Linked DNA regions of Bombyx mori. The protein of the gene in region 4 interacts with the protein of the main gene of each other region in a pairwise test. Links are inferred from orthologs where the notes say so. Each region holds a gene or a part of one and is shown on either strand. Other genes may lie near its edges.

What was found.
Region 1: the proteins of general vesicular transport factor p115 (region 4) and RING finger protein nhl-1 interact in a two-hybrid assay, tested with the Caenorhabditis elegans proteins (2 studies listed by BioGRID). The link is inferred for Bombyx mori from reciprocal best matches to the Caenorhabditis elegans genes uso-1 and nhl-1.
Region 2: the proteins of general vesicular transport factor p115 (region 4) and centaurin-gamma-1A interact in a two-hybrid assay, tested with the Caenorhabditis elegans proteins (2 studies listed by BioGRID). The link is inferred for Bombyx mori from reciprocal best matches to the Caenorhabditis elegans genes uso-1 and cnt-2.
Region 3: the proteins of general vesicular transport factor p115 (region 4) and paired box protein Pax-6 interact in a two-hybrid assay, tested with the Caenorhabditis elegans proteins (2 studies listed by BioGRID). The link is inferred for Bombyx mori from reciprocal best matches to the Caenorhabditis elegans genes uso-1 and vab-3.

What each region holds. Positions count from the first base shown.
Region 1 is NC_085114.1:2,556,448-2,564,886, reverse strand, and holds the start of RING finger protein nhl-1, read right to left. Parts: upstream 5,646-8,439; 5' UTR 5,417-5,645; intron 736-5,416; exon of another isoform or gene 593-735; intron 1-592.
Region 2 is NC_085115.1:14,999,108-15,007,544, reverse strand, and holds the start of centaurin-gamma-1A, read left to right. Parts: upstream 1-3,754; 5' UTR 3,755-4,034; coding exon 4,035-4,230; intron 4,231-8,437.
Region 3 is NC_085120.1:4,527,075-4,535,631, reverse strand, and holds the start of paired box protein Pax-6, read right to left. Parts: upstream 4,923-8,557; 5' UTR 4,532-4,922; intron 1-4,531.
Region 4 is NC_085109.1:1,631,644-1,640,231, forward strand, and holds the start of general vesicular transport factor p115, read left to right. Parts: upstream 1-4,251; 5' UTR 4,252-4,410; coding exon 4,411-4,491; intron 4,492-6,145; coding exon 6,146-6,280; intron 6,281-6,349; coding exon 6,350-7,293; intron 7,294-7,647; coding exon 7,648-8,170; intron 8,171-8,588. Other genes in the region: uncharacterized protein LOC101741560, read right to left, coding at 1-94, 682-760, 1,238-1,451, 3,174-3,423, 3,587-3,651.

The DNA.
Region 1 (8,439 bases), on a different chromosome or scaffold from region 4:
TAAATTAATTAATTAATTAAACCAGTAACTGACCGATGCTGGCATTACGATCTCAAAAATAGATTAAAAACGTTTCTTTTAAATTATTTCACTTAATAAATCTATGAATTAAGTATTACAAAAAAAAACACCACATGGCATCAGATTAATGTCACTCAACACTGGCTTTATGAACACAGTTTCTTTAAGCACATCACAAACCATATTTAAAAAAAAAACTGCACTTATTTCTAAATTTGAAACTGTCCATCTTCAATTTGTTTTATTTTACTTTTTGTTCCTAAAACTATTCTGAATTCGAAATCTGAAAACACCCGTACCGTTTCAAGTATTATTTAAAAAAAAAATAATTTATCATAACTGTTTAATTCCATTAAGAATCTCGAATTTAAACTGTTTTTAGTTAACATTTAAATTCACGTAACTTTAGTGAAGTCTATTTCTAAATTCGAATTTTGAAATGCACCATCCATTACGAGCCGTTTTTTTTTCGTTTTTTTTTTTTTTGATACTTTCGTCACAAAATTTCATAATTGCCTCAAAATTTAATCGTTGGCTTAAAACTAGTATCTGTTACAGTTTTCAAACTTACGTTTGTGCGCTCGCCTAGCACAACGAAACTAATGCGGTACTGACTGACTGTGTTATACGTTAGCTGAAATCTAAAAAAAGACGAGGAGAACTCACTCACACGAAGAGCGCATTTAGATATCAGAAGTGCTTTTATACGTCCGCTGTCATTGAATCCTGTTTTTTTATGATAATTTGCAAAGGTGTTAATAATCTAATGACAATAGAGTTCAAAATCGCGTGACGTGTTCGAGAAATGTTGGTTGTTACGTGACATTACGTAGAAAGTTGTTCGAAGATGAAATTAAAATTTTCATACATTCAACATTTGAGATATATATTTTTTTATTGCCCTTGTAGTCAGTCGAGCTTACGACCCACCTGATGGTGAGTGGTTACCGTCGCCCATGGACTTCAGCAAGGCCAGGGGCAGAGCCAAGCCGCTGCCTGCTTTAGAAATATTAAGAAAGTTTTTGTAAATAACAAGAATGTTCTATGTACCTATAGACTATTTAAGAAGCACCTTTCTTGATGTGGCGTTTAAAGGGTTGGGCAGTTAAACAGTAAAATGATCGACTTCATGTTGACCACGGACTCTTGACAGCGTAAGCAGCGGAAACCACTGCTGTAAGTTATTAGCCAGTACTATGGAATATAACTACTTATGTGACGTCACTTAACTAATTTTAGCCACGCAAAAATTCAAATCATTCAGTTACACGCAACATTAATAACAACACGTTTTCGCGTCTATTTCCAGCCACCTCATGTTAAGGGCGATGCGTCTGTATTTTTACGAATGAACGATTGTGAACCTTATCCGCATTGGAATAAGCTCGTCGAGACAAGGAAGAGTTTGATGCCGATCACAGACTGAACTATTTGACATTTGAGGAGTTATTCGGTTCACCGTGATTCAGTGATCACACAATCCAACCAATCGTATCGGCTAAAAATTGTCATTTAGTATTAAAGCTTATTTGCTGTTATATCCATAGAGGGTAATACCTGATCGCCGTATCTGACATCTTTGAACGAACTTTGAAGAGTCCAAAGTTGCAGGCGGCGACTTAACTGCGCCCTTGGTATTTTTGATGGCGGGCCGTATGCTCACTTGCCTTCGAAATATAAATTAACTGAACTAGAAATTAATTGTTGTGCTTTCCACAACTTTTTTTATTTCATGTGGACGAGCTCACGGCCCACCCGATGTTAAGTGGTTACTGGAGCCCGTAGATATCTACAACGTAAATGCCGCCACTTACCTTGAGATATGAGTTCTAAGGTCTCAGTATAGTTACAACGGCTGCCCTACCCTTCAAACCGAAACGCATTACTGCTTCACGGCAGAAATAGGCGGGGTGGTGGTACCTACCCGCGCGGACTCACAAGAGGTCCTACCACCACTAGTAAATTAAAGTAATTTGAAGGGTGGGTTACGACTGTTTTACATTATCGGAATATACCGCTGAACTTACAAAAGTTCGCCAAACTAAGTCTTCTCAGTCACACAAAATAAATGCATATTTATTTATTTGAATTCAGAACGTTAAATAAATTGCGAATTTCTATAATATTTTTGGAGCAAATTTAGCGATTGCTGTAAATTATTTTAAATTAATCACAAACAATTTGAATATTCAAAATTTTCGCTGGAACTTTGAATTTGGACTTCGTTTACATCAATGCTAAGTACCTCGTTTCGTATAATTTTTTCATGAAAAGTTTTAAGATTTTTTTTTTTTTACACATTTTAGTTTAAAACAATTTTTTGTTTGTTTTGTTTTTTTGTTTTAAAAAACGCAGACCGTTGTTGAACTTAAGCACATAAATGTATGAAATATTCCATTCTTAAGCGATTCTTAGATCATTCTTAAAGATTTTCTCTCGCCACCTACCACCCACTTGATGGTACTATGACAAAGAGTTTCAAGAGACGGTCATCTTCAACACAAAGAAGCAAACATACAAGCACGTATTTAAAAAAAATATTGGGCCATGAAGAATCAAAATAATCAATTTCAACTTCTAAGCATTTACCAAATTAAGTGAAGATTACTAGTGAAGCCCAATCAGGCTTGGCTTTAACTATGACTAGTAATAATTGCAAGAAATATTTTTATAGAATTTCCAAATAATGAAAAAATAAAAATAACGGCACGACAAACAAAAAATCAGACAAATCGACTGAATATTTCTCAAGCGAAAATACGTCATACGCATAGATTTTTTTTATTGATTCATATGTTATGTGTGGCAGTGTCACTACGAATATATATATTATGTAGTATAACCTTTTTGCAAGAAGTAATAAATGAAATCGGCATGTGTTTTGGAAGCCTGAGCCCAGAGTGGTTTGCGGCAGCGTTAGGCATAATACTGGTATTAAATGCAAAGGTTTGCCTTAATAGTAGGGTTAAATGAGATATTTTGTGTTTTATTTTGAATTTTAGGATGTTTCTAACAATATTCTTGGTACTAGTTCTTATTCGAAATAACCAAACTAAAATACGTTCAATTTAAATATAAGACAAATGAATAAACGAATTAACTAAAATACAAGCGAAACTTTTAAGTTGAAAGCTTATCCTACCCACAAATCTGCAAAAAGCTTCTAACTGGGAGCTTATCAATGAGTTATGAATGCTAGACTGAATAGAGATTAACTTCGTAGCTACTTCGCAGCGCCGTGATGGATGGCGTTTCGCATCCGACAAGATAACTTTTGTAGTATTTGACCCTACATTATATCGTTTGATATGTTTTAAAAGTTATATTACGTAGATTCGAAAGGGTATAAGCCGATAAGAATTCGGTGAATTTGACTTCACGCGATGGTGTAATAATATTGTAGATACAACGGGAGAGGTTCTTTAGCGATCTATTGAACTCGCGCGGGTCAGAAGTGAATGGATACAAATTATATGTATATGATCACGATCCTCATTAGTGAGGTAACGAAAAAGATAGTCTTTTTTTATTTTATTTTATTCCTTAGATGGGTGGACGAGCTCACAGCCCACCTGGTGTTAAGTGGTTACTGGAGCCCATAGACATCTACAACGTAAATGCGTCAACCACCTTGAGATATAAGTTTTAAGATCTCAGTATAGTTACAACGGCTGCCCTACCCTTCAGACCGAAACGCATTACTGCTTCACGGCAGAAAAAGAGAGGGCCGTGGTACCTACCCAGAAATAGACAGGACGGTAAATTATTCGTCTTAAGTCTTTCGTCTTCTTCTTAGTCTTTCTAAAGCGAGTTAATTCGTTTTGGAAGTTAAGGTATCCGGTCACTATTTTGAGCCCAGTGAAAGAGAAACTCATCTGTTTGTTAAATGAAAAAAAATAACGAGAAAGGGGCGTGAAAATTAACATCTAATATATAAAATTCTCGTGTCACAATGTTCGTTCCCATACTCCTCCGAAACCGCTTGACCGATTCTCATGAAATTTTTTATGCATATTCAGTAAGCCTGAGAATCGGCTACTATCTATTTTTCATACCCTTAAGTGATTAGGGTTGTCCACCCCTAACATTTTTTTTTTATTTGGACTTTTTTTTGTTATAATGAGGTATTATGTGATTGAATGAGGTTTTCTTATTTTTATTATATATTCCCTCTTCGTTCACAGCACTACATACCTCTTTCACTCATTTACCACATCCTTACACACTTACAATAAGTTAGTTTTTTTTTCTACACTAGAAATTCCCTAGAAATCTTATATATGGCAAAACAATGTTTGCCGGGTCAGCTAGTCTCTATATATAAAAATGAATTGCTGCTCGTTAGTCTCGCTAAAACTCGAAAACGGATGGACCGATTTGGCTAATTTTGATCTTGAATTATTTGTGGAAGTCCAGAGAATGTTTAAAAGGTAGATAAATATGAAAATGCTCGGAATTAAATTAAAATAACAATTTTGTTTCCCCTTTGATGTCCCCCGTCGGACGGATTCTTTTGTTAGTTTTAAGTTTAATTTATACAATAGTTTAGGTCTTTTATTTATCGATTGAGGCACTACGAAGTCTGCCAGGTCAGCTAGTTACAATTAAAAAATTTGATTGTCGCTTTCACGCAGACGTAAATTAAAATTCACAAAAAGCTAACACGAAAATCTAATTCAACCTTCGCCCTCAAAAATCAGTATGCCTTTATAAGTATGAGAACTCCCGAAAATAGGTCACACGTTGAAAAGGGCGCATGCTTCGTGTCTGAATTAATTTTTAGGGTCCAAAAGATTTATTTAATTCCCTTTGAGAGTTAATTTTCGTTTTCGCTCCGGAGGTCTTAATTAGGTTTTTTTTAATGCTTCGACGATTTTTAGTAAATAATGTTTACGGTTTCAATGTTCAGTGCGAAATGTTTCTCACCTAATTCCCTGTTTAATTCTTACGTCAAACATTGATGGTAAAACACCATTTTATTTTGATACGTGAACTAGAGGTGCATGAGTAAATGGGAGGGCTCTGAGAAATTGTTCGTGTTGATCCCTTCATGCACCTCCTGAGATCGGAGCAGAGTTCATCCTTACTATCTGGAAACGCCGCGTTCATACGTAGTGCTATACCAGATATTTTTTGCGAAGCACCATCCAGCTTTGGGATCAACTCCCATGCACGGTGTGTCCTGAATGCTATGACACGACCATCTTCAAACAGAGTTTGTCATTATTGACATCCACAAGTGACAGTAATCATTCACCATCAAATGGGCCGAATACTCGATCGTCTGCCCACAAAGGGAATAAGCAAACATGTAAATAAAATATTGAACTATATTACGATTTACTCGCTAGAGTAATTTCCTAAGCCATAGACATAATGCAAAGCCGTCACTAACCTTCAGATATGAATTCCAAGTCTCAATTGTATTATAATACGGCTATACAATCTTCCAAACAGACTTGCCCGGGACACCGGTGCGTCGAGGATATCCTTGCTGTGTTGGGTGCTGTGCGGTCAGTGATCCTACGCGAGTGTGTTTCTATCTGCCGTCACGGTAACGTTCCCAGCAGCACAGACGAGGGACCCGGGAACGTGTGAGTAGATCGACACTCTCAAATCCTAACATTTGTTAATTGCGGGTAGGTGCCGTTCATACCTGTAAAGCTGCGTGCTCACTTTATTCTGAGATTTTTTTTATTTATTGCTTAGATGGGTGGACGATCTCACAGCCCACCTGGTCTTAAGTGGTTACTGGAGCTCATAGACATCCACAACGTAAATGCGCAACCCACCTTGAGATATAAGTTCTAAGGTCTCAAGAATAGTTACAACGGCTGCCCCGCCCTTCAAACCGAAACGCATCACTGCTGCACGGCAGAAATAGGCAGGGTAGTGGCACCCGCGCGGACTCACAAGAGGTCCTACCACCAGTAAACTCACAAGAAGTCCTACCACCAGTAAAATTGAGTTACGTTAGCGTCACTGAGTCTGGCCACCAGCGTCCGTTCCCAGTCCTCCCCTACCCTTCGGGGTTAGGAGGGGCTGAATTCTAAGCCCGAACTGGCAGTCCGATCGGTATAGGCTAGAGTACATGGGTGTAGGTGCCTTAGTTAGCTAGTTTAGATTAGTGTAGATAATAGTTTTTAGTTAGTTTAGTTACCACCCCCGTAGTCTCAATTTAACCTAGTTCTGATAAATTATAATAATAAAAATTTCAATTAAAATTAATTCACTTTAAATTATTAGTCTGCTCCTAGCTTTACAACAATCCCTTATCGCATCACCTGTTTTGTCACATCTATAGCCAATAGGAATCGTTGTTTTATTTTAAATCGAAATAAAACACATTCCTTCTTCCAAATTACAGAATTCCGCCATATCTACCCTCTTTTACTTTAATATTTTTAAATTTCAATACATCTATATATTAAATACGCGAAGCAAAAACTTCGTATCCCTTTTTACGAAAATTGCGCGGACGGAGGAGTATGGAATTTTGCCACACTTATAGAGAATATAGAGAAGAAGTGCACAATGCTAATATTTTTTTGAAATAATGCATAAAAGATACATTAAATCAATAAAGAAAACATTACACCCACTACATACCGTGTATTTGACGCACACACGCATGCATACTATTTATTGTCAAACTTTTGTTCTTGACGTCTGTTGTCAATTTGAGATTAAATTAATATTGTTTGTCTTTGTTAATGTTTTTTATAGTGTAGTCTTGGCGAAATTTGTGATTATAGAAGTATAAAATACAATCATAATAGTGTACAAACTTACAATTCCAATTAATTATAGTCAAATTTCGACTACTGCGGGACCTCTAGTTTCATTTTAATTTAGCTACGTAATCCGACTGACGACAGCCCATAGATTGTAAGCTTAACTTTACGTTTTATACTTAGTAAAGGGTGTTTCAGAATGTTTTTCGTTTTTGAATTGATTACTCGTTACTGACATATTATGATCCGGACTTTTTTGGCTACAGAAATGCAAAACCATTATGGCTACAACCGCAACACCTTTTTCCAGCAAGATGGAGCCAATTCTCATATTACAAATGACTCATTAGCTGCTCTTCAAGATTATTCCCTGGAAGAGTACCACCGCCCTTCCTATTTCTACCGTGAAGCAGTAATGCGTTTCGGTTTGAAGGGTGGGCAGCCGTTGTAACTATACTTGGCATCTTAGAACTTATATCTCAAGGTGGGTGGCGCATTTACGTTGTAGATGTCCATGGGCTCCTGTAACCACTGAACACCAGGTGGGCTGTGAGCTCGTCCACCTATCTAAGCAATAAAAAAAATAGTGATAAGTCGCCGAGGAGACATCAACTGGCCACCGAGGAGCCCTGATTTAACGCCTGCTGATTTTTTCCTATGGGGCTACCTAAAAAGTAAAGTTTACAATCTATTGCCACCAAACCTGAATGTTTTGAAGCAAAGAATCACGGAAGAAATCAACTCTTATTCCAAGAGCGATGCTCCAACGAGCGATTGTAAATTTTAGCTCCAGGTTAAATGAGTGCGAACAAGTAAATGGTGCGCATTTGTGGTTTTTCATACGGTTGTATTTTTTTTTTTTTCATAAGTAAATTTCAAGAACTGTTCTTTAATTTAACAATAAATAAAACGAGTTTTAATAAATATTATTGTTTTTTATTTAACATCTAAAAACGAAAAACATTCTGAGACACCCGTTAGTTATTGATTGTATTTATAAGCTTGAGGGTAGACATTATCTTGTTGAACACCAAGTAGAACGAAGTCACTTTTTGATTCCTGATTTAATCAACAATATGTTATCTTAACAATTCACTTTAACACTTGTCCAACCTTAACCAGTACGTACAACAGTCACTGTATCACACAACGTAACAAGGATATAGTAAGTGCACCGGGCAAACGCAGTCCAACGAATGTCCATTGCGAGGCACGTACCGCCTTTTTATACTGGCCGGCGCAGCTGGCTTATTTATGAGTCACTTCTGTTGCACCTGTTGTTTACGAGTCGAACGACACGGCCGGCGCACCTGGCTTGTGTGAGTCACTCCTATTGCACGTGCTTAACAGAAATATCGTTAACGCCGTCATATTTATTTATATCTTTAGTGACCGATGTATCTTATTGTTGTTTGTTTGTCTTGTTTGTTCGTGAAAGAGCTGATGTTAAGTTAATAATATCAGTAATTTCCAAATTGTTCTTTGTTTGTTGAAAGAGGGCCTGCGCAGTGTCACCGCTGCTAGGCCTTTGGTCATGCCTCCACCAACTGCCACCGTGCGGTCCGCTGTATACGATGTGCCGGAGAGCACGTGGTAGTGAACTGCCCGAGGCCGAGTGACGGCCCATTTACGTGTGCCAACTGCGGCAAGGACCACGCAGCCGTCGACCGACGGTGCGCGATCT
Region 2 (8,437 bases), on a different chromosome or scaffold from region 4:
TTCGACTACTGCGGGACCTCTAGTTGTATCGAAATCGCTCTCATAGTGCTACAGCTGAGTGGCAATATGACTTGAGATTGTAGGTTCGAGACAGATTGAGAAGATGATATTTTCAAGTGTACAGAAGAAGTAGATAACAACAATCGCTGGATGATTACGTTCATTGCTCTTCTTCTTCTTTTTTAAGTATGGCAGTTGGCTTTTTGCGATTGTTGCCAGTGCCGAATTTATAAAAATCTTCATAAAATAAATACCATAATTAAGCTATTTATAAATGATTTATAGCGAAATGATTTAAAGTTAAAGTCGTCGTGGCCTAAAGGATAAGACGTCCGATGCATTCGTATGTAGCGATGCACCGAAGTTCGAATCCCGCAGGCGGGTACCAATTTTTCTAATTCTAATGATTGACTTCCACGGTGAAGGAATAACATCGTGTAATAAAAATCAAACCTACAAAATTATAATTTGCGTTATTACTGTTGGTAGGACCTCTTGTGAGTCCGGACGGGTAGGTACCACCACCCTGCCTATTTCTGCCGTGAAGCAGTAACACGTTTCGGTTTGAAGGGTGAAGCAGCCGTTGTAATTACTTAGTCTGGCCATAAATACTGTTACAATTAAAATAAACAAAATATTACATTTGAATTTGGAATCTGTAATTTTTATATGATTGCTCATTGAGTTTTTTCATTTTGGCGCCAATACATTGTACAATATTTTACGATATTAAAATGGAGTGGGGTGATAAAGAGAACCGAATCGCTGTGATTGTATTTCACAAAGTAGGTATGGAGCCAAATGCAATTTTTAAAACTCTCCATACGCTTGATATTAGTAAAATGTTTGTGTACCGGGCTATTAATAGGTGCAATGAGACCTCCTCTGTTTGTGACAGAAAAAGATCTGGCCGTCCATGTAGTGTTCGTACGAAAAAGGTGGGCAAAGCAGTAAGTGAAAAAATTCGAAGAAATCCTGTCCGAAAGCAAAAGATTTTATCTCGGGAGATGAAGATAGCACCTAGAACCATGTCGCGTATTTTAAAAGATGACTTAGGACTTGCAGCCTATAAGAGACGTACTGGTCATTTCTTAACTGATAATTTAAAAGAGAATAGGGTGGTAAAATCGAAATAACTACTGAAGCGGTACGCAAAGGGAGGTCATACAAAAATTTTGATTATGGATGAGAAATTTTTTACAATTGAGCAACATTTTAACAAACAAAATGACCGTATTTATGCTCAAAGCTCTAAGGAAGCTTCCCAATTAGTCGACAGAGTGCAACGTGGGCACTATCCGACTTCAGTGATGGTTTGGTGGGGTATTAGCTATGAAGGAGTGATTGGGCCATACTTTTGCGAAAAAGGTATCAAAACATCGGCACAAGTGTATTAAGATACCATTCTTGAGAAGGTAGTGAAGCCCCTTAACAACACCATGTTCAATAATCAAGAATGTTCCTTCCAGCAAGACTCGGCGCCAGATCATAAAGCTCGGTCCACGCAGTTTTGGTTGGAAACGAACGTTTCGGACTTTATCAGAGCTGAAGACTGGCCGTCGTCTAGTCCCGATCTTAATCCGCTGGATTATGATTTATTGTCAGTTTTAGAGAGAACGGCTTGCTCTAAACGCCTTGATAATTTGGAGTTCCTAAAACAATCCGTACGATTGGCAGTTAAAAATTTTCCCATGGAAAGAGAGCGTGCATCTATTGATAACTGGCCTCAACGTTTAAAGGACTGTTTTGCAGCCAATGGAGACCACTTCGAATAAGCTTTTTATACTTTAAATTGTTTTATATTTATGTATTAAACTAACACACTGTAAAAGTAATAAATGTTATTTGCCATAGATTTTTTTTTTGTTTTCCTTTGTAACAGTATTTATGGCCAGACTAAGTATACTGAGACCTTAGAACTTATATCTCAAGGTGGGTAGCGCATTTACGTTGTAGATGTCTATGGGTTCCAGTAATCACTTAACACCAGGTGGACTGTGAGCTCGTCCACCTATCTAAGCAATAAAAATAAATAAAAGAGTTAATTCATTTGAGACCGCAAGAAATTGTCATGAAATTAAATAAAACAAGATGAGATTTCCATCTTATGTCAAATGAAACGAAATGAGATGGGATGGAATAAAGGCTCAGTACAATGGTGGTTATTTACTGAAACTTGAATGTAATATTTGGAGAAGACCGAGACGCTGCGTCCAATGCCTGTGTTAAATTTTCCCAATAATTTAGATGTCACCATGTATTAGAAAAATTTATAGGTCACCATCATCAAACTTTAAACATAAAAAAAAACGTGTGGCACTCGGGAACTGCCGCGGTAAAGCTATTGCATAGCATTTTTTATCAACTTATGCAATTACAATTAGACAATAATAATTTAATATTAAAACAATAATAAAAATAAGACCACACTATATTAAACATTAATAAAGGCAAAACCTTAACTGTCCCCTTCACACTCAGAAGCTAGACCGCGCGAGAGAGAGATGGGCAGACTTTTCATGATGCGAATGCAGTGTGACGTCACGCCACGCGCTTATTCACAAATACTACACAAGCGCAACGTGTGAATGTGTTGAACGCGAGCTACATGGTAGGCGGAGTGAGGGGTGTTAGATTTTTTTCGTTACGGAATTTCATGATTCGGTCGCCGCGCTCAAGGCCCGCGATAAAAGCTATGCAATAGCTTAAAAACGCTAAATTAACAAAACAAAACAATAACACAATTTCACTCTTCAGGTTCCTGCCAAAAGGTCCTTTCATGCTCACTCGTAGCTTACTGCAGTAGTCTTAACTAAATACACTTAGTGTGACGTATATGCTGCACTCTTCAATTTAAAAAAAAAACAAGTTTTTCGATAATTACTGAACGAGTCCTTAGGTTTTATTATTTAATAACATTTTTAGGGATAATTTAAACATTACTTTTATTTAAAATACCGCACCCTGGTACAATTTTAGAAAACTAAAAATGTCACACCAATAGCTTTGCAACGTAGAAGTTTATATAAAATCCAATAGATGTCGCTAAATTAAAAATCTCTGTTCGTCTTTGAATCATGCACTGAATTAGTGCTACCAGCCTTTGAAATTTCTCTGTCATTTAAAATTTATCGCCATCACAACAACAACAAAAAAGATCATTAGAAATAATAATCACGTTGATATGTTTTTTGTTTGTAATAAAATTTGATATCATCCGTTATCGGTTAACGACCCACTTGTGGAAAGTGGTTACTATCACTCAGAAAAACACAGCTAAACTCTTGCCTTTCACTATTAATATTTGAAACTATGTAAACAAGATCTTTTTATACTTTAAAATCAAATCAAACTTTTGACAAGACTTTTATCATTTAGAAAATAAACAAAAAGGTATGGTTTAAATAAATCATAAAATAAATCTAGTTGAAGTCGTTTATTTTTTTATTTCAATTATTACATATTTTATGATGACCTAAATTAATTTGTTTTGTATCAAATCAAACTTTGCTTTGTAAAACAATAACAATTTGGAAATATTACCTAAATAGGCAATTGTCGTGCATAATAATATTCAGTTAGTTTTTTTTTTCAATATGATCAAAAAACTATCACTGTAATGTACAGAAAATTTGACTTGAATACATAAGCTAGTTGACTAGTTCACACAATAGTGCATACAAATTTTGTAATTTACATGTTTAGTTTCGGAAAATTTTATTAAATGGGCAACCCCGTCCATTCCTGGCTGGGCAAAAACGCGACAGTCCGGTAATGGCTGCCGATGAGGCGGTGTGTTTATGTCGGTGTTCGAAAGCGTGTAGATTGTTTATTTACATGTTCATTCTAACTGATACCAATAGTGTTTTGTGTTGACAGTGTCTTCTTCTTGTAACGAACCACACTAACGTGTATTCAAGTGCATTGTTAAGTTAATGATCAAAAATGACCGGTGGATTGCTCACGTAGAGCGTAAACCGAGAATGCATTTTTAGTGTCGTGGAGTGTTTGTACGTACACATTTATCTGGATAAATGTTCGGCTACAGGGGTAATATGTGCAGCCGGCAGCATTCTCAGGCTTGCCTGAATACATCTTTGTCGATACGACAAGAGATACAGCGGTTTGAAAGTGTACATCCATCGATATACGCGCTTTACGATCTGGTCGAGTTGGTGCCTGATCCACTGCTCGCTCAGCAGATAAGAGATCACGTCGTTGCCATTGAAGGTACGTAGTGTAAATTATGCTTTTTGTTTAGTTGAAAAGAACATCATCGGTTTCTAGGGAGACGATATTGTTGTTTATTTAGATAAGGCATGCTGGATAACCTATATTGTTAGAACAAGTTGTAGAAATTGCAGACGGCCACTAGCATGTTACAAACTGTTGACAAGTTATCAATGATAACAAACTAATGTTGTGTTAACAATTATTAACATTAATAAAACTGTAGGTCGTTAAAAAGTCAACTGTTAGTACGCCAAATCGAATACGGATCTGTTTGTGATGATGCTATTTAAATTTTCGATTTAAGAATATTGTGCACTTAAATAATAAACAAAAATATTAAATTTTAAAGTTAAAAATAAAAATTATTTTAAATGACAATATTAAATTACTCGTACAATCAATTTCAATCGCTTATAATATTTTTTTACTTAATTATCACCATTATATTTTACGAAATGTTTGTAAAATTTAATTGTATATGAAACCTAGATTTGCAAAACAGTTTAATCCATTTATTTTTCGAAAGGTTAGGGTCATTTAAATTATTAATATCAAAGATTTTGAGTGGACACTAGGATGGTTGATAGTCGCGTGAAATTATAAACCGCTTTATGATTTCGCAGTGACCGTTTGCCATCACGAAGCCAAAATGAACACGATCAATACTAGAGATTACATTTTAAAATTGAAATCTGACACGTTGACGTAATGCGGTTATAAATTATTTTGTGCAATAAATTCTAGGTCACAGAATTTTGAATTTCGGTAATGACTGGGATACTGTAACTAGCTGGGATATGTTTTGAAGTCGTGGTGGTCTAAGGATAAGACGCTCGGTTCATTCGTGTTGAGCGATGCAACTGGGTCGGTGTTCATATCCAGGTATAATTTTTTTAAATGGTATTTAACTGACTTTCACTAATGACTTCCACCATTAAGGATTAATATGGTGCAATAAAAAAAACCGTAAACGTGATATTTGCGTAGTTACTGGTGGTAAGGACGTCTTGTAAGTCCGCACGGGTAGGTACCACCACCCTGCCTATTTCTGCTGGAAGCAGTAATGCGTTTCGGTTTGAAGGTTTGGGGGGCAGCCGTTGTATCTATACTGAGACCTTAAAATTCATGTCTCAAGACGGGTGGCGGCTTTTACGTTATTGATGCTTTTGCGCTTCGGTAATCATTTGACACCAAGTGGGTCATCGAGGTAAGCAATAAAAAAAGTTGTCAGCTCGTCCTACTATTTTTGGCGCCAACTAATCGTGCTTACCAATTCTAAGGGCGGCCATTAGCCAGACATTTCGAACTCGTGTATCACGGTGCTCTCCGACAACCTTCTACTTCAATAAGAAAGTCGCATAGATGCAAACCTTATTTATCTACTCCGTGGATGCAAATAACCTTAAAACTAATCGGCTATATACAGAAAGAAGTATGATGCTATTTGGCGTCGTCGGAATCGGGTATAAAATATAAAAAAATGTACAGAAAATATTTTACTCTCCTCTCTTGTAAAGAAATAATTAAATCATTTCCTTTTCAACCTAATACGTTTTGTTTCATTCAGGAAATTTAATTTGTTTTCGTAGATCGAAGAATACCAGAGTTTGGAAGTGGGAAGCATATTTCTGGAATTTTACCATAAACACAGTGTTATAAATAAGAAAAAATATTAAGGCATATCTTGTTTACTTCGAAGGATATGCCAAAGAATTTACATACCTCTGAGTTCACAAGATTTGATCATATTTGTAACCACGACAGTCATTATGCCGTCACTTTGACCAGTCTCGAAATCTTGTGTCTGAATATTGAATGAGCCAATCGAAAGCGCTTCTCAAAGTATATTTACCAGAAGCTTTACCCGAATCATTACAATTCACGCAAAATTCTAATGAAACTAGCTATTAAAAAGTTAAGATTCATTTGCTTTTTTATTTCTCCTCGACCCTGCTTATGAAATAACGGATTTAAATATTTTTTCAGGCGTAAACGGACTCATTAGTTCCCTGAACCCAAAGATATGACAATGTCAATGTCTTGTCGAAGTGTTGAGTACCACTTTGCGTCACCATCGATAAGTCTCAATGGGCATTGATTTAATAATATACATTTTTTAATTTACACAATTTTTTTTTAAATAATAAATTGGAAATATTACCATCATCAGTGGCATTAAAAAATGGAGCCTTTCACGCGAGGAGTGAAGTTGTGTGATTTGTTTTATTTTGTCTATTTAGTGTTTCTTCGGGTTTAAATGTGTAATAACGGTGGTTTATTAACTGTTTAATATCTATGAAAGTGCACAAATGTGGGAAAATGAAACAAAGCCGCTGGACGTAACTTCTTGGGATCCTCCAAAAAGTCCACTGAAAAAATCTTAGTAAATGACCACCGTTTTACTAAGATTATAATTTCATTCCATATCATCTCATTTCATTTAATTTCATCCCAGTTGATTAACGTCTCAAATTAATCATTTTCATTTCATTTCACTCCATTTATAATTTTTCATAAAAATAAGAATATAAATTAAAATAAGACATGACTTAAAGGTCTTAGTTACCAGGTCATAAAATCACTTAAAAAAAATAACTTTACATTCGAGTACACAGAATATATGAAAATGTAGACTAAATTATCTGTTTGAATGAAGCCATTTGAGGACACACAGGTAAAACAGATTAAAATTATTAGTATTTAAAGATTGTTCTTCGTGAATACCTAATTCGTTTTCAGTAATCAGCTAGCCTCTTCCTCGTAATGGTTTTTCAATCAAAAATTCCAAAACAAAATGGTAAATGCCAATTACAAAACACAACGGTAGTTCTCTCACCTTTGAAACCGGAACGCATTGATGCTTCGCCGCGGAAATAGGGTGGGTGGATGTACCTATCTACCTACCCGTGCAGACTCAGATAGCCCTAATACGAGTAATTACGAAAATTGTTTTTTCTAGAAGTCGTTCGTGAACATGGGCTACAATAGGTATTCCATTAGAAATAAATAATAGTTTAAAAAAACTAAAAAAATACGCTTTTATAGAAAATCCCACTAAAAAATAGAAAATAAATCTTAATAAATTTGAATTAAAAATAGTGTAAGAAAACATGATTTTATTGTAAAAAAATAATACGCGTGGGGTGCATCGTATCAGTACTTAGTTATAAATATTCTATGAACAGATATGAGTAGAAGGGTTATTTTGATAATATCCTGAAAAGCACCCCACGCTTTTTTACAATAAAATCATTTTTTCTTACACTATTTTTACACGTCTGAAGCTAATAAAAGCGTATTAAAAACAGTATAGACTTATGGATTTCATTAGAGTAGGTACTAACTCACGACACTTCCTCGACGCCTTCAGCTCTAACACTAGGAGCAGACTTAGGGACCCCGGTAACCCTAAAAAAGTTAGACGTGCAACTTATCCTAAACATCAGCCCGATGAGTTTCTGGCTAGATCTTCTAAGCGGGTCGCGATTCCGATGCGGTAGCAGATTAATTCGCGAAGCAACTGTCCTTGAGTTATTAGGTCTCCTTTGGAGGTGTTGGCTGTTAGCAAATCGCCTCCTGACTGAGCCTTTGCTCACTCACTTGTCCTGATGAAACTGGAAATGCCTCTGGGCCACCAGTAATCCCTCATTCATAAAAAAATAAACAACATGCCATCTGTTTAAGCCAACTAATTGAAATCGACACAATAATATACAGATTACTTATAAGAATTTACAACCGGCGTAATAACAACGCCTGACCATAAACAAATCTATTGATAGAATAGCTGGATGGTTATAGAATAAGAATGATCTTTCCTATACGACCTATATTAGAGGTAAGTACCATGGATCTACAAATTTCAGCCGCGAACTATCCCTTAATTCTGATAGAAAGGGTATAATAGCCGTTATTTCAAAAATAAGGACCTATCTTACTTTTGAAGATGCGGGTAAACTTCTTCCATAATAAAGTGATTGGCACATCTATTGTTGGTAACAACCGTTTTTTTATTGACTGCTCATTACTACTTAGCTGTTACTGTTAAATTCGCTTGCTTGTCAGCATAAGCTACTAAAAAATTCCCTTCCACGTTTCAAGATTTTCCTATTAGTGTATCTCTAGCGCTAGCAAATTATAAGCCGTATATCCAACGCCCGGCGTCTAATTTGATTCAACAAAAGCCGTTCCTTGTCATCATTAA
Region 3 (8,557 bases), on a different chromosome or scaffold from region 4:
ACGGTAACCACTCACCATCAGGTGGGCCGTATGCTCGTCTGCCTACAAGGGCAATAAAAAAAAAAAAAAAATATATTGTCTGTAAATTTTTTGTTCTTTCGAGCATCGCTAATAAGTACAGAACCGATTTCAAATAAGCTTTATAAACGTTATAAATGCTTAATATTAATATTAAAATTAAACTTTCATTATATTTAGTTCGATTGCCGAGGACCGGAGATAGCGACCGAGAATCGTAACTGATCAAAGATTCGAGTGCATTGAGTGCATTATTCTTTTTTTTTGTGTAATTTAGGGCTGTCAGAACAACAGACTGCAGACTATTAAATAAACCAGTGGTCGCCCGGTAGTCGAAATTGGACTATAATTAATTAAAATTATAAGTTTGTACACTATTATGATTCTATTTGCAAAGACTATTAAACTTCTATAATCACAGTTTTCGTCAAGGCAAAAAAATAAATAGTATGCATACGCATGCACACACGCGTGTGCGTCAAATACATGGTAGTGTGAGTAATGTTTTTTTTTATTGATTTAATGTACTTTTTAGGCATAATTTTAAAAAAAAATTAACATTCTGCACTCCTTCTCTATATTCTCTATACGTGTGGGATATTTCATACTCCTCCGTCCGCGCAATTTTCGTAAAAAGGGATACAACGTTTTTCCTTCACGTATTAATATATAGATGACAATATTAAAGTTACGTCAAATTTTCCAGTCTTCAAATGCAAATCAAAAACACGCATTTCCCGGTGGTGAAGCGTCTTTTGAGCCCTCCTGGCTACACTGTCTTTTCTGCCGCGGAGCTGTAATGCATTCCGGCTTGAAGCATACGGACAATTATACCGTTATAAGATCTCATGTTTCAAAATGAGTAGCGGCATTCACGTAGTACTGTCTATGCGCTCCGGTAACCATTTAACACCAGGTGAGCCGTGAAATCGATCACCGATTTTTTTTATTTTTTTTTTAATGCTTAGATATGTGGACGAGCTCACAGCCCACCTGGTGTTAAGTGGTTACTGGAGCCCATAGACATCTACAACGTAAATGCGCCACACACCTTGAGATATAGTTCTAAGGTCTCAGTATAGTCACAACGGCTGCCCCACCCTTCAAACCGAAACGCATTACTGCTTCACGGCAGAAATAGGCGGGGCGGTGGTACCTACCCGTGCGGACTCACAAGAGGTCCTACCACCAGTAAAATTGAGGCAACAGAAAAAAAAAACGCCATCACGCTTGAATTTTACGATGTTTACACAAATGAAAATTAAAATCATTCTTGCGCTCAACCGAAATAAAATCGTACCATTGGCGTATTATGAAAATGCTACTAAAATTGTATAGTTTTCGATTGTGTTGTGTTTTCCTTTTAATAATAATAATCAGTGAATATGCCTTCAGTATTCATTTCACAGATGATTTAATATCGGATTTATATAATGAGTATGTAAACGCTTTGAACATTGGTATGTATAAACGGAAGTTTTTGTCAAACTGCTGACCTGGTTTTAATATTAAATTAATATAAAAAAAAACCTAATAATTTTGGCTCGCAATTGAATGTTTGTCCCAGAATCGAACAGTACTACAGTTTTTTTTTTAACAAACACCAACCCATGAAAATCATGTCAATGATAAACATAAAATATACGCTATAATAGTGCAGATTGATTGCACAATACGCGTGTCATATTTAATTGCAAATGTAGCGAGGTTTGGGGGAGGCCTATGTCCAGCAGGGGATCTCTTTGGGCTGATAGTAAGTAAGTGGAGACCGCGAATTGGCAAACGCAGTACAGGACGCCCTTAGGCACGGTGGAGTGATAATCTGTGCAGGGTGGAAAGAGCTGGATGAGAGAAACCAAGGATCATGCTCAGTGGCGAGCAATTGGAGAAGTCTATGTCCAGCACTGGATTGATATAGGCCGATGATGATGACGAAGTAAGACGCTCGACATTCCTATGATGTACCGGTGATTACTGCTACTCATAAACGATAAAAAGCCAAGTCAAGGCAAGATATTAATAAAATTAAAAGATCTTATTGTTATAAGCGCGGTGTCGAAAGTTCATGCGATTAAGAAATTCAATAGAACAACATCACAGAAGCGATCGACAAAAAACTGTTATAGTAACTCTTTGTTTACCAGTTAAAGAAAGTGACAATGACGCATCTCGACGCCTGTACAAGAACAATAAAGTATACAAAGTACACGTGAAAAAATTGAAAGAGGTTAATGGTTTCAAAAAGCACAATCTTCATATATCGCGTGAAGCTGAAAATAAACCCCTAATATACATAGATAATCCGGTCGAAACGAATATACCACACACCTTTATGGGTATTGACGAATTTAAGAAATTACTCACAGACAGAGCTTTGCGACATTCACCTATGCAAAGTACCAGTAAGCCCAATGTTTATAGATTGAAAAGTCTGGAAACTAAAATAACGGCTATTAATGATACCAAACACATTAAACTAATCAAGAGAAGTGAAGTAAAATCAGAAGTAACAAAAAAGGGAACACAAGCAGATAATACTAAAGAAATATTACGTAAGAATACGATAGTTATAAAAAATGTTGACGCAGCAACCGCTATCAGTATGAATGTGGTACGTCAAGAAGCCGAAATCATTACGCAAGCTCCAACAAAACCGTCAACTATCACCTCGGAGTCAACTGGGAAAACAAAAATTTATGAAGCTGTTGAGACTATAACAAATGATGAAGAAATTTCGAAAGCGCGATCAGCTGCTTCTACTACTGCTTCTACTGATATCAAAGGCTTCGATTTCACAACCGTTTCCAAAATTGCGGAGCATTCTGTAAATTCGACACCAGAAAAAGAAAATATTAGCACAAATAACATCAATTTAACAACGGTGTTTAATAATACAGTTATGCTTGAAGTTACTACAGCGAAACATTTTGATGTTAAATACAATATTACGACTTTGGAATCAACTATAGGAAAATTAAAGTCTGTGAAACGGACGACTACAAATAAACAATATAAAAGTTCCACTAGAAAAAAAACATCAAAGAGAAGTACATTATCGGTAAGTATTTGGTTTAAGGGACGATAAATTTACGCCTATAAAATATTTTAATTAAAAAAAAATTTATATATAGTAAGTATACAATACCGTTTTGATTATGTATATATGTATTCAAGTGTGTGTATCTAGCTTTGTTATTTTTTTTATTTTTACCCATGTAGCCTATAGAATAGCCCCTTACACGCTGATAGCTTAAGAGGTTATTCCAGCTACGTTTGAACATCTAGGTGAGCTCACGGGCTAAAACTGAGAGAGTTTGTTCACACTAGCCTTAACAAGATCAGTGATTCTCGGAATCTACCACCGAATCAGAATTTCTTGTTATTCGAAGCGAGATTTTTATAGCACTGTTTGGCACTTTGCTGTAAAATACTAAGCTCAGATAGGCCGTCTTCGTCATTATGAGCGTTGAAATCACGCCCTTGAATTGGACGGATTTTGAAGGTTTTTCGAAATAACCTAGTTACGGTTGTATTTTTAATGGATAATTTATAGTTTTGTCGAGAAAAAATTCGTAAATGAAGGTAATACCCAAAAGCGTTTTCGCGTAAATCGTTTCCTTACTTGCAGTCGAATAAGTGAGCAGTTTTAACTTAGTTATTCGGACAGACAGACAACCTTAGAGCCCATCTCATAAGCTGTTACCCGAACTGAGAACTTAGACAGCGTGGTTGATGTTGATAAATTCAATGACTATCAATCATTTATAACTACTCTTTATGTCACGACTTTTAGAAAACTAAAAACAAAATTAAAAGACATTAAGCATCCTAAGTACTAATATTTATTCGGCTTAGTTTTCTAACTACTAATTGTATCCGAATTTCTTTTAAATATTATTATTATTGATATAGCAATAAAACTAGTTTAATTCCCACTCACAACCCTGTTCATCTTGACCCTCCCGTGAATAATGGAATATAAAGTAAATCAATATAAATGTAATAAAATAAATCACACAAAACGAATTACGGAATCTACGGAGATTCTCGTATAGTACACTTTTTGGTTTAAATTAATTTGGTATTTTATTTGAAGCCCTAACAGTTAAATGTTCTTGTTTTGTAATTAAAAATTGTAATCTTCAACAATGGATCTACTAACAAAATGCCATAATACTATTTATGATTTTATTTCTTTCAGAGACCACTAGTTTTCATGGGGGGTTATAATTGAATATACAATTGGTTAATAATAAAGCTTGAAAATCTACAATTTTGGTAAATAGTGTTTTATTAAATTTCATATATGTTACTCATACTAAAATAAAATAGATTACTATTAAAGTTGATATGCGGTTTATCGGGTCTGAAGATTTCCGATGTGATTATTTCTTAATTTTGATAATGTAAAATTCTTTATGTCAATATATGTTGCTTAATTTTATAAGAAATCTCAGTACCAACTTTGTAAGCTTCAAGATATTTGATATTTTAAATATATTTGAACACATACCTTAACTTCTACCTAGACAAAAAATCCGAGTTATTGCAACAGCAATAACTAAAGTCTTCTTCAACTGGTCGGCATGAACATCACTTTACTAAACTAATAACGAATTAAGCAAATTATTAAGGCTTTACGATAAATAGTTCTTGTGCCCGTGAAAACTCGTAAAACGATTTTCCCGCCGAACAAAACGTCAAACTGTCAAACGCGCGAACATCGTGCCTCCAGTCCGGTATAAAGGCGCCACTTCACTGATTACAAAATAGAATCTCACGTGGACCTCCGCTGCTACGGTATACCTTATAACTATGAAGGGCCATCGAGACGACTCTATTCACGCTCACCCTGGCGAGAAAGAGATGCCATAAAGTGTCGACACCCATTGTAAGCCGCTTACTGAATTTAGGACTGCTCATTTGTGCGACAGAGACGCCTAGCTTTTTATTGTATAGTCTTAATTCACGCTCCGCCCATTCCTCATTTAACCCCACGGCGGTGGGGGAAACGGCCAGTTTTAAATTATCTATTATAATAAAATTATTTCGCGAAATAAGGGGTTGGTTATGTTAATGATGTGTTTAATTTATGTCTATGTCTTTATCTTAGAAGTGGCTGACGACAGCGTCGAGACGCGTTATTTGCGTATGAAAATTATTTTCCCTGTCACTTTAATAATGTTGATATGTTTGATGAATTATTTTGACTTGGTACTTATTATAATAATTTTAATTAAACATTCGACATAATTTTGTATTTAAGCTTGTATTAAAAATAGAGATCTAAGCCTTGTTGTTGCAATTATAGTTTTGTTTTAGTTTTATTATTATTATTATTTAGCAAGCCGATATTATAAATTAGGTAATATACACCTTACTTTTCTGTATTTTTTTCTTCGGGGCAACCCTGGTAGCGTCGGTAAGGGTGACGTCGATGAAACTCATTACAGATTTAGAGTTTTTTATAATTAAGATCGATTTTTTTAGATGGGCAAATCAACTAATCCATCCAATCTTAAGTGGTTAAGTGGTGTTGATAGGTAGTAGTTGATAGTAAGCTGAACAATATCCCGCCACTCGTCCACTTTGTAGTCGTCGTGGCCTAAAGGACAATACGTCCGGTGCATTCGTATCTAGCGATGCACCGGTGTTCGAATCCCGCAGACGGGTACCAATTTTTCTAATGAAATACGTACTTCACAAATGTTCACGATTGACTTCCAGGGTGAAGGAATAACATCGTGAAATAAAAATCAAACCAGCATAATTAAAATTTGTGTAATTACTGATTGTAAGACCTCTAGTGAATCCGCACGGATAGATACCACCGCCCTGCCTATTTCTGCCGTGAAGCAGTAATGCGTTTCGGTTTGAAGGGTAGGGCAGCCGTTGTAACTATACTGAGACCTTAGAACTTACATCTCAATGTGGTTGGCGCATTTACGTTGTAAAAGTCTTTGGGCTCCAGTAACTACTTAACACCAGGTGGGCTGTGAGCTCGTCGTCAACCTATCAAAAAAGGCAATAAAAAATCTCCATTATAGCTGTGCGTCTAAATCTTACGCGTAGAGGGCAATGCAAGAGAGGTTGCAGCCTTGACCTGGCCAGTCCTCCTTACGCGAGATCTATCGTGCGGCTTAACACTCTTAACCCTGCCCCGCACCATCACGAGCTCGATAGAAAGATCCGTGACACATATCCAGAAAAAGAGGCCAGATAAGAGCCTGCAACGTGCAGGAGAGGCGTTTCATTATTTTCATTCCTCAAGAATAGACTCGTTGTTGCGAAATCAGTCCACGATATCCGGAGTTTTTCTCCAGAATCACATTTCAAGTGGGTCTATTCTGCGTTTTCTACTATCTCCCAGTGTCTAGGTGTCTTTGGAACAAAAAAGAACATATATTTCCAAATTTAAAGAGTATAAATTGCTCGTAAATATCTACTGAAAAAAAAAAGAAAATAGATCAACGAACAATACTAAAAATATCAATTAACTGTTTTGTGTTAAAAAAATCAAAATCTTATAATTTTTCTTAACCAAAAAGAGAAAAGAAACAGCCTGTAGACAGAGGAGATAATAATACTTCATTGTTTAAAAATATAATGTTATGTAGCTGTTTATATAAAGCAAATAAAAATAATAGGTTGGGGAAAAAGTCTTTTCGCATTATAGTATGTATGAACTTGTAATAAAATCTCTTTGGCTATTTGTATCTGGCTGGTTTTGATATCATTAAAAGTTTCAATTTTAAAGAAGATAATTCCTAATTCAAACTAGGAAAATATGTGATTTTTATTATTTTTGCCTCTGGGTCTGCGGAGGGACTTCGGTTCCCTCTGTATTCTGTACCGTATGTTCCATGGGGAGTGCTCTGAGGAATTGTTCGAGATGATACCGGCATCTCGTTTTTACCATCGCACCGCCCGCCACCGGAGTAGAGTTCATCCATACTACCTGGAGCCACTGCGGTCATCCACAGTGCGTTTCCAGAGATCTTTTTTGCCACGTACCATCCGGCTATGGAATGAGCTCCCCTCCACGGTGTTTCCCGAGCGCTATGACATGTCCTTCTTCAAACGAGGCTTGTGGAGAGTATTAAGCGGTAGGCAGCGGCTTGGCTCTGCCCCTGGCATTGCTGAAGTCCATGGGCGACGGTAACCACTCACCATCAGGTGGGCCGTATGCCCGTCTGCCTACAAAGGCAAAAAAAAAAAAGGTGAATCTAATGAAGAAATTCGATACATTTAAAAATTTTACTACAAAAATGGTAAAAAGGCAACGCAAGTCGCTATTATGTACGTATGTGCTAAATTTACTAAATATTACTTAACCTCTATTTAATCATAACAAAAATAATCTATCACTTAGGGAAGACAAAAATAATTTTGCTTTATTATTCTACTTCCGAGTAGCAAATAACTACTCGGAAGTATAATTTCTACATTTGTAAGGTTTATTTTCGATTAGTTTCTAATAAATTGAAACGATACTTCAACTATCAAGGAAATAAAATGCATCAAATTAGTAAAAAAATGTAATACTTTATTATTATTATACTTTATATTTTAAGTTCTCCATTTGAGTAGTTTCCAATTCATTCCTGTAAATTTATGGAAATCCGTCACTATTTGAAATCAATTGGTTATCGGGTACAGCTCTTCCCAGATCTTGAACCTATCTTCGAAGAGGTTTTCATGGACCGAGAAAGTCTTGTCGATGCGAAGGTATTTCCTGTCGTTGGGCTTCATAGCCGGCCAAGACAGACCTGATAACTCAGGATTGTTATCCCGGGGATTCGGATCTCTGAAAAAGAGATATTAAAAAAAACATCAATTTTAATATATTTTTTTGAAATATGTAAAATTTAATCTTATCTTATACCTTTACGAGCAATTCTTGTGTATATATAATCTAAATCTCGGAAACGGCTCCAACGATTTTTATAAAATTTAGTATACAGGGGATTTCGGGGGCGATAAATCGATCTAGCTACGATTTATTTTCAGAAAATGTTGTTTTATTCGTGTTTTCAATAATAAACTCTTCCCGACATCTATTGGCGAATAATAATACTATTTTTCTTAATTCAGGGTAACTAATCAAGATGGCGTTATAAAAAAAAAACCGGTCATCATCTAGTCTATACTAATATATAAATCTACAGTGGTTTTTACGGTTGTTCCGTTATAACTACTGATCCATGCATCCGATTGACTTGAAACTTGGTATCCATGTAGAAAATATATGCAATTAATGGATAGGCTGATATTTATATGAATGTTGGACTCTCTAATAATAATGACAAATAACAATGTTAATTTTAAATTCCCAGCAAAGCAGACGGGTACAGCTAATCGTTTATAACATTTGTCGAGATTAGATTAATATAATTTCTTTTTTTTTTTATTGCCTAGATGTGTGAACGAGCTCACAGCCCATCTGGTGTTAAGCGGTTACTGGAACCCATAGACATCTACAACGTAAATGCGCCACACACCTAGAGATATAAGTTCTAAGGTCTCAGTATAGTTACAA
Region 4 (8,588 bases):
CATTAGATCAAAAAATACTTGTTTCAATGAAGATGGCTTGTCCTCATCGGCTGGTTTCACGAGAATTGCTAACAGTATCCTGGTTACTTGAACTCTAAAAAATAATGTGTATTTTTGAATAAATTAATACTAGGTTATGCAATACGGAACTAAAATCTAAGTCGTTTGGAGTCATAAATAGACAATATAAGTTAACAAATAGACACAAGTTACATCATGCAGTGTGATTGGTGTTAAATGTTAGAAATATTCGTATTTATGGTAGCTTGAAAAAAAAATGCTTCATAAAACTATCATAAGTCATTAAGATATCCTTTATTATTTTACTTAATAGATTGTTTTGTTGACTAGTTTATCACTACTACTTATACCACATAAGAATACCTACTCAACAACTTCACTTCACTCAAGAACATTTCATAATGTGTTAGGCGCATCTTTTTCTGACTTTCATCTGATTTGTTTTATAACTGACAGTGGTGAACTAGTTTAGACAATATTGGTTTCTTTAAAAAGCAGTAGCTGTTTCTTATAAGATAGGCTGGAATCTCATCTGCCTATCTACAATTATAAAAAGTTTAAATAATACTTTCTACATAAGAAATTTATAAACAAATACATTATAGTGCAAACTAACTTTTAAATAAAGTTTTGTTTTATATTATAATTATTATTACTTACTCTGTGAGGAGGTCTTCAGGAATATTCAGTTTGGAGTCACATATTGTGTTTGAAGTTTCAAGTGCCATGCTGAACTTTTCTGTAACAATATTTTAAAAAGATGTATTTCTTGTAGATTGTTTCTTGCAAAGCGGACCAACAACCTATTAAAGAGGATCTTTTGCATGGGGCCAAAGCAGCAGGTAATTGTGAGAAATCTTGACAGACATATAGGACCAGCTGTGAAGATATAAAGGCTGATGATATATACATATTACAGAATCTATGACAATGCTCATGACGAAAAATCCATATGAAGTGTCTCGTTGGTGCAGTAATAAGTGCTTCTGATTGCTGGGCTGATGGTTGTGAATTCAATTCTCACATCTAACAAACAGTCCTATAATTGACAGAATTGATTGCCCTTTGTCCGGTTGTTTAATATCTATATACATATGCATATTTTTAAATCGATACAAGTATATATCAGTCTCTGTCCCCCTAGTTGTTATTATTATTATTATCTGAAGTATGACTGAAAAAATTTAAAAGTATAAACTGATTTACTGTATTTTACCACTGTCAATCTGTAAAATCATTAAATTCCACAATGCCATCAACTTCATAGTATAATCCACAACAGTATCCAGTGCTTGTTGGTAGTATGATATAGCCTCCGCTTTATGTCCCAGGGTGGACAGGTTGCTAGCTAATTCCATCAGTAGTGATGTGCGAATGGGTGACTTTTCTGGATATTTGTTCAGTGCTTGTAGAAAACATCCTATACCAGCCTGGAAATTCAGAAGTGTAACAGCCTGGCCACGGGACATTCGCCGATACGAATATTCGCGCGGTGCGAACGGCGAAGCGTCTAGCGACTAAAATAAGAACATAGAAATGTACCTAACAAGCCACGCGCACCGGCGACCGGCGAAGCGACCGGTGGAATGTACCGAACGAATCGCGCGGGCGACTTACGATGTGGCGGGCGAGCAAAACAAATGCATGAATAAGGACGGCGCAAGCCACGGAGTCGAGCGGTAGTCGCGGCGAATAGTGCAGTGATTAAATGAGTTTAGTTGTTTTCGCCGCGAAAAATGAACGCCGAAATTTTTATATTTTATATTTTTTTTAAAAAAATTTTTATATTTTTAAACTCGTCGTGGCCGAACGGATAAGAGTCCGGTGTTGAGCGATGCACCGGTAGTCGAATATCAGGCGGGTACCAATTTTTGTAATGAAATACGTACTCAACAAATTTTAATGTTCACGATTGATTTCCACGGTGAAGGAATAACATCGTGTAATAAAAATGAAACCCTCTAAATTATAATTTGCGTAATTACTGGGGGTAGGAGTGGTAGGACCTCTTGTGAGTCCGCGCGGGTGGGTACCACCACCCTGCCTGTTTCTGCCGTGAAGTAGTAATGCGTTTCGGTTTGAAGGGTGGGGCAGCCGTTGTAACTATACTTGAGACCTTAGAACTTATATCTCAAGGTGGGTGGCGCATTTACGTTGTAGATGTCTATGGGCTTCAGTAACCACTTAACACAAGGTGGACTGTGTGCTCATCCACCCATCTAAGCAATAAAAAAATATATAGCTGAAATACTAGCTAGACCTGCTATTTGGAAGTCTAGCCACCCAAAGTGTTTCTCGTACTTCTTGTGGAATTCTCCATCTATAGGTATACTCTGATTCTTATTCAAATCATGTACTTTACAATCTTTTCCAAATAATAGGTCCTGAACCAAAAAACTATTAATTTGTAAGCAATATCGAGATAATTTCGATATAGACATTTCGCTATCGGACTTCCTTACTAGTCGCGGCAGCGAACGTGAGTACCCGTGGCCTGCAAACGGTGCTGCGCGAATGGTCGCCTCGTCCACCGCTTCGCTGTTCGCACCGTCGATCCCCGTGGCCAGGCCGTAAGAACACAAACACATTAATTTGATCAATTACTTTAAAAATCATGTTTAATATATTATACATATACCTAATGTTTTTTGTATGATTTAGGGTTTTGGCAGACCTCAGTCTCAAATGGTTAAGATTTGGCAGGATTGCTCTATACTACTTTTAATTATGCATGAAAAACCAGAACAAATAGTACTCATTCTTTGAGGGTTGCCTAGGCTTATTATCAATATAAAAGTATTACGTAGATACATCTTCCATTTCAAAAATCAATTTGTTTTTACATAAACTTGTAAATTATGGATAAGATAATCATCACACTCTGCTCTAACCAGAGAAGTGAGATTAATCAAAGGTTTACAATCAACAAATAATCTCTTTCACAACAGTATACTTCATGAACAATGCTGCTAATACTACAATTCATTGCTTAGCTAAAGATACCTATAATATGTATATGATATGCCACAATAGCTATTTATGAAAGGATTCAATTTTAAATCTTAGTTGAAAATGAAGAAAATGTATCTCGCACAGTATTGTTGGCTAAGCAAGAAAATGTTGCTTTAAGATATTTCAATCCAGCATCTTACTTCTAAATTCTCTCTTTCGGGACTGTAGAATTTCATTGACTTCAGTTTCATCTCAGCTTTAATGAATTGTCTGGCTGCAGAGATATAGTGCTCTGCTTCACCAAGGAAATTTCCCACCGAGGCCTCGCATTTCGCAGCGCCCACATAAGAATGCCCTGCAAACGTTGGCTGTTCAGAATGTTCACATTGTATCGCTAGTGCTATAAACTCATTTGTTGCTTCAGAAACATTTGGCTTCCGCATGAAACGCCTGAAAATTCAACGTAATTATATTTCATTTTTGCTTTAGATTGAACGCAAGTTGTAAATATTAGTCATAATATGTTAAAAAGTATGTTAAAAAAATATTTTCATTTTTAGTTTTTTAAAGCTATGAAATACATTATTTACAATAAGAAAAAATATATATTTACTTTTTCATTTTTGTATTGATGTTCATGTATTGTTCTGTGAAACTGGAGTTTAAATCAGTAGACATTGTCGATGTTGTACGTAATAATCAAAATAAATAATTAAAAAAACTGAGGGACTGTTTGTAAATTTGTAACGTTTAACTTTTTTCTGTTTTATTAGTCAATTAGGCAGACGAAGGGAATGTAGTCTATACAGGCATGCTTACTTTATCAAAGGTCAAAGAATGAAACAAAATATTAAATCAAATGGAATTGATGAAAATAAGTTAAGTAGGTAGTGCCTCTCAGGAAACTGGTTAAAATTAATTAAGAGTTCAATTAATGTTTTGGAAGAAGTCGAGAAGCCATGTCCAGCTATTAGTTTAGCTTTCATGATCATGAATATTTTAGTTAATACAATACCTATTCAAGCGTTACCCTTTTAGTTGGTACAATAATGAAATGTCGACGACCAACATTTTAGCCATCGTTTGAGGTTACGACCTCATGTTTCAGTGTGATTGATGACGTTCACGTCGTGATGTCTTTGGGGCCCGGCGAGTACCTAGGTATATACTTACGCAATACAAAACTTAGGAAATTTTGATAAAAATGAATATTTTGAATTTAGTAGGTTTTGAATTTGTCGTAGGAGAATTGTCTATAAGCATCTGGCAGCATTGCACCGGTCACCAACTGTCAAATTCGTTTGAAGGTTTGACGTGTCTTTTATTTATGGAAAGGACTTGAACATAATTTCACGAAAAATAACAAGTGATAAAACATGAGTTCTATTATAATTACTTTCTAGAGGTATAAAGTGTATAGCAACGCACGTAAAAAAAATGGATTTCCTCAAAAGCGGTATTAAGACTGTTCTGGGGTCTCCAGAGGTCGGCACTGCCGCACCGTCTCCAGCTGAAACGGTGATCATTTTATTAATAAGATTTCTAGAATAATAGTCTACTCTCGGGCTATTTATAGATACCAATCAAGTACTGTTCATGTAAACTAGACTTTTATAGCATCAAGCAATTTGAAAGATTTGAGATAAAATATAATTATTAAATTAATTTGTAAATTAATCAAAATCTTATCTCTCATGCACTCACAGACTAATACCACGCCTACGGAGCTACGTTTTGTACTGAACTGATGATCATTCCTTTAAGCCACCATAATTTCATATATTCAGCACTATTCACTATATCTTACTAGATGACATTCCAATCAAATAAATCTGAGGAGGCATTGTTTCCATGACTTGTGGGCAGGCCGTCAGCTATATGTTGTATATGAACACAAAGTATTTATATTCAGCAAATCAAGATCAGTTTTCGTTTTTAACTACCTCTGTAGATGTGTGATTACTACTATAGTTTACTTTATTTTTGGCTCAGAGAACAGTGCCCTTACATTTAGTAAAAACATCGGCTATCGTAATTAATAATGAGCATTTTTTATAATAAGCTTTCTTAATGAGCAGGTTGCAGAGAATTATCTGTCAATCTAAGAGCTACTAGATTTTGCAGAAAATAGTATTGAAATTGATTAAAAATAATAATATAGTGTCTTTGACAATAACCACATGAGGCTAAGCGGCCTGTCTGTGTACGTAGTGCAAAACAGAATAGTAAATGTGAGATTACACTGTAAAAGCTATTTTAATTAAACTGGCAGTAGGACCTCTTGTGAGCAATAAAAAGAGTATTTAAGCAATAAAAAATATATGTTTATGATTTGCAAAAACTGATGACAATACTATATCATGGTACAATTTTTAAAAATGTGATGTGACTTCAGACATTTTCAAGAGGCTGCAAGTTTGCAAATTTGGAATATATATAGCAATATGGAATAAAAACCACAATAAGAATATATTTTTTCTAGAAACCATAATACTTTTAATAGTAGTATACGGACCAAATGAAAAACTGTCTGGCTATTAACCAAAATATAAGACAGCAAAATAGCAAAGTCTCTGTAGGTAGATCAAGTCGTAAAGAATCTTGTTATTGAGGTTCATAACCTTAAAAAATATGCTAATTTTTAGTTTTACTAGTGCTTAGTAAGTATTACTGAATGTACTTATTTTTTTGCCTATAGCATTGTACTATAGCATAAAATATTTAAATATTTAACTAATAATGTTAACTTTAGGAGATTGTGTCTTGAAGCTAAGACTCCCACTCCATCAATTAAAATACAAAATTTGCAGGAAATGATAAGACATTATTTAACAATTGTAATTTTAATTTAACAAATTGTCTACTCATATGTTATTATAACTTGTCAAGCATAAAATTATTATAACTATTTATGCTGTTATCTTGACATGTATATGTACACATGTCAGTCTCTGCTACCCATAGCACAGGGAATCCTAATTTTAGGCAGAATGACCGCGCATGATTTGTTCACGGTTCCCAGTTAAGTAATTCATCAGTAAAGTTGAATTTTGGCAATTTGTATTTGTTTACATAATAATCTTTGGTTTGCTCTTTAAGGATTTACTATAATTTAAAATAGACTAATAGGTTAAGAAACGCAATAATGAAATACACGGCATTGGTGGGACAGGTCGAGCGACTAGTGGAGCGCGTTACGAATTCTACACTGCTTCAAGACCGCAGAGACAGCTGCCGTGCGCTCAAAGCACTCTCGCAGAACTACCGCATTGAAGTCGGTGCCCAGGCCATGGATGCTCTCCGTCAGGTTAGTACTGGTGTGTGGGTCATAAATCTCATTCTTGATTATTATTTAATAGCTACTTAAATTTCCCAGGTACTAGAATTAGACAGAGCAGACAATGAGACGATACACTACGCACTTGACACCCTTAAAAATATTATGTCTCCAACTCTTTTCAAAGTTGAAGAGGACAACCACCAAGTTCCTTGTAACATCGGGGAACAGTTCACTGAAATGTTCATTAAAGATCCACAGAATGTGCAGCTTGTGTTAGATCTTCTTGACGAATACGACTTTCGCGTGCGACTCTCAGCCGTACAGCTACTTACTTTCATGCTCACGAACAGGACCCGTGACATCCAAGAGATCATTCTAGTCAAACCAATGGGAGTATCCAAGATGATAGACCTCCTCGGAGACACCCGGGAAGTCGTAAGAAACGAAACATTGTTGCTTTTAATAAAACTGACAAAGGGCAATGCCAACATACAGAAAATAGTAGCGTTCGAGAATACATTCGACCGATTGTTTGAGATAATTGCGAGCGAAGGACACGCCGAGGGCGGTATCATCGTAGAAGACTGTCTGTTACTGATGTTGAATCTGCTGAAGAACAACAGCAGCAATGTGAACTTCTTCAAAGAGGGTAGCTACGTGCAGCGTCTGCTACCACTGCTGGCGACGCGCGACGACGAGGCCGAGGAGGCCGGGTGGGCGGCGCAGCGCGTGGCCAACGTGCAGGTCACGCTGCTGGTGGTGCGCGCTCTGGTGGGCGGGCAGGGCGCGGGCGCGGGCGGCTGTCGACGCGCGGTGCGGGCGGGCGGCGTGCTGGCGGCGCTGTGCGGCGTGCTCATGTCGAGCGGAGTGCCGGCCGCCGTGCTTGCCGACACCATCCTGGCGGTGGCCGACGCGGTGCGCGCCGAGCCCGAGTCGCAGGACTACCTCGCGCAGGTCACCGCGCCCTCCGACCCGCCTCGACCCACTCTTCTCGTCCTGCTCATGTGTATGCTCAACGAGAAACAGCCATTCCAACTTAGGTAAAGTTTTATAAACAATACACTTATCTTCAGTCAGACACTTGTTAGAGTGGTCGTGGTTGCGCTGACGATGTATATGCAGAAGCATCCATTAGGTCGCCCATGCTCTCGAGGACCGCCGTCCAAGCAATGCAGTTATAAACATTAATCAATAAATAAACAAACTTCTTCATGTGCTCAGGTAAAGTTGTTCCCAGTGAAAATGGTGCTAAAGCTTATGAACTCGCACACACGTTATCTACGCATATTTCTTTATGTGTAAATTTTATATGTATGTACGCTAAAATACGTCAGATGAAGCATTTCAAATATATAAAAAAATGGAGCCTAATAGTAATAATATTTGACGGGCAGATGTGCGGTGCTGTACTGTTTCGAGTGCTTCCTGTACCGGAACGAGAGCCAGCAGGCGGCGCTGGTGTCGACGCTGCTGCCGACGGCGGGCGAGGCGGCGCGGCTCACGGCCGGGCAGCTGCTGTGCGGCGGGCTGTTCTCGCGCGACGCCGCCGCCAACTGGTTCGCGGCCGTGGCGCTGTCCCACGCGCTGCGGGACAACCCCGAGCAGAAGCGGCGGCTGCTGCGCGTGGTGGTGGCGGCGGCGGGCGGCGGCGCCCCCGAGTCGCTGGTGTCGCAGTGCGGGCGCCTGCTGCAGCGCGCGGCGGACGCGCGGGCGCAGGTGGCGCTGCTCATGCTGCTGTCGCACTGGGCGGCGGGCTGCCCGGCCGCGGCCGCCGCGCTGCTGGGGGGCGGGGGCGCCGTGGGCTGGGCGGTGTCGCAGGCCGCCGACACGGACGACCCGCTGCTCTCGGGGCTAGCTGCCTTCCTGCTGGCGCTGCTCTACCACTACAATGATGACTCCGTACCCGAATACACCAAGGTCTCTTTTTTTCATTTACAGATTTAAAACTTGCCATGCATGCCTTGCATGACTGTTTACCTGTGTGTAACAATGGTGTTCAATCCGAACCCAGCGCCCTCGTGGCAGCCTAGGCACTGTCAAATCGCGACCCGTGTTGCCGGGGTAAAAACTCAAATAGATTCAGATAGATTGGTTTTGAACAAGTAGGTTGAAACTTGGGATCGTTAATCAGGATGCGCGACTTGCCGTGCCTTTCTTTTTTTATTCCTACCTAAGCTGATAGCCTTGAGAGGCTATTTCAGCGTAACCTTAACCAGTAGGTGAGCTTACGGGGCTCAAACCTGACGACGTTGCTAACACGAACCCTAGCAAGAGCCGTGCTTCGCAGAATCTACCACCGGATCGGAAAGCGACCCACCGAGAAGATCCGGCGAGA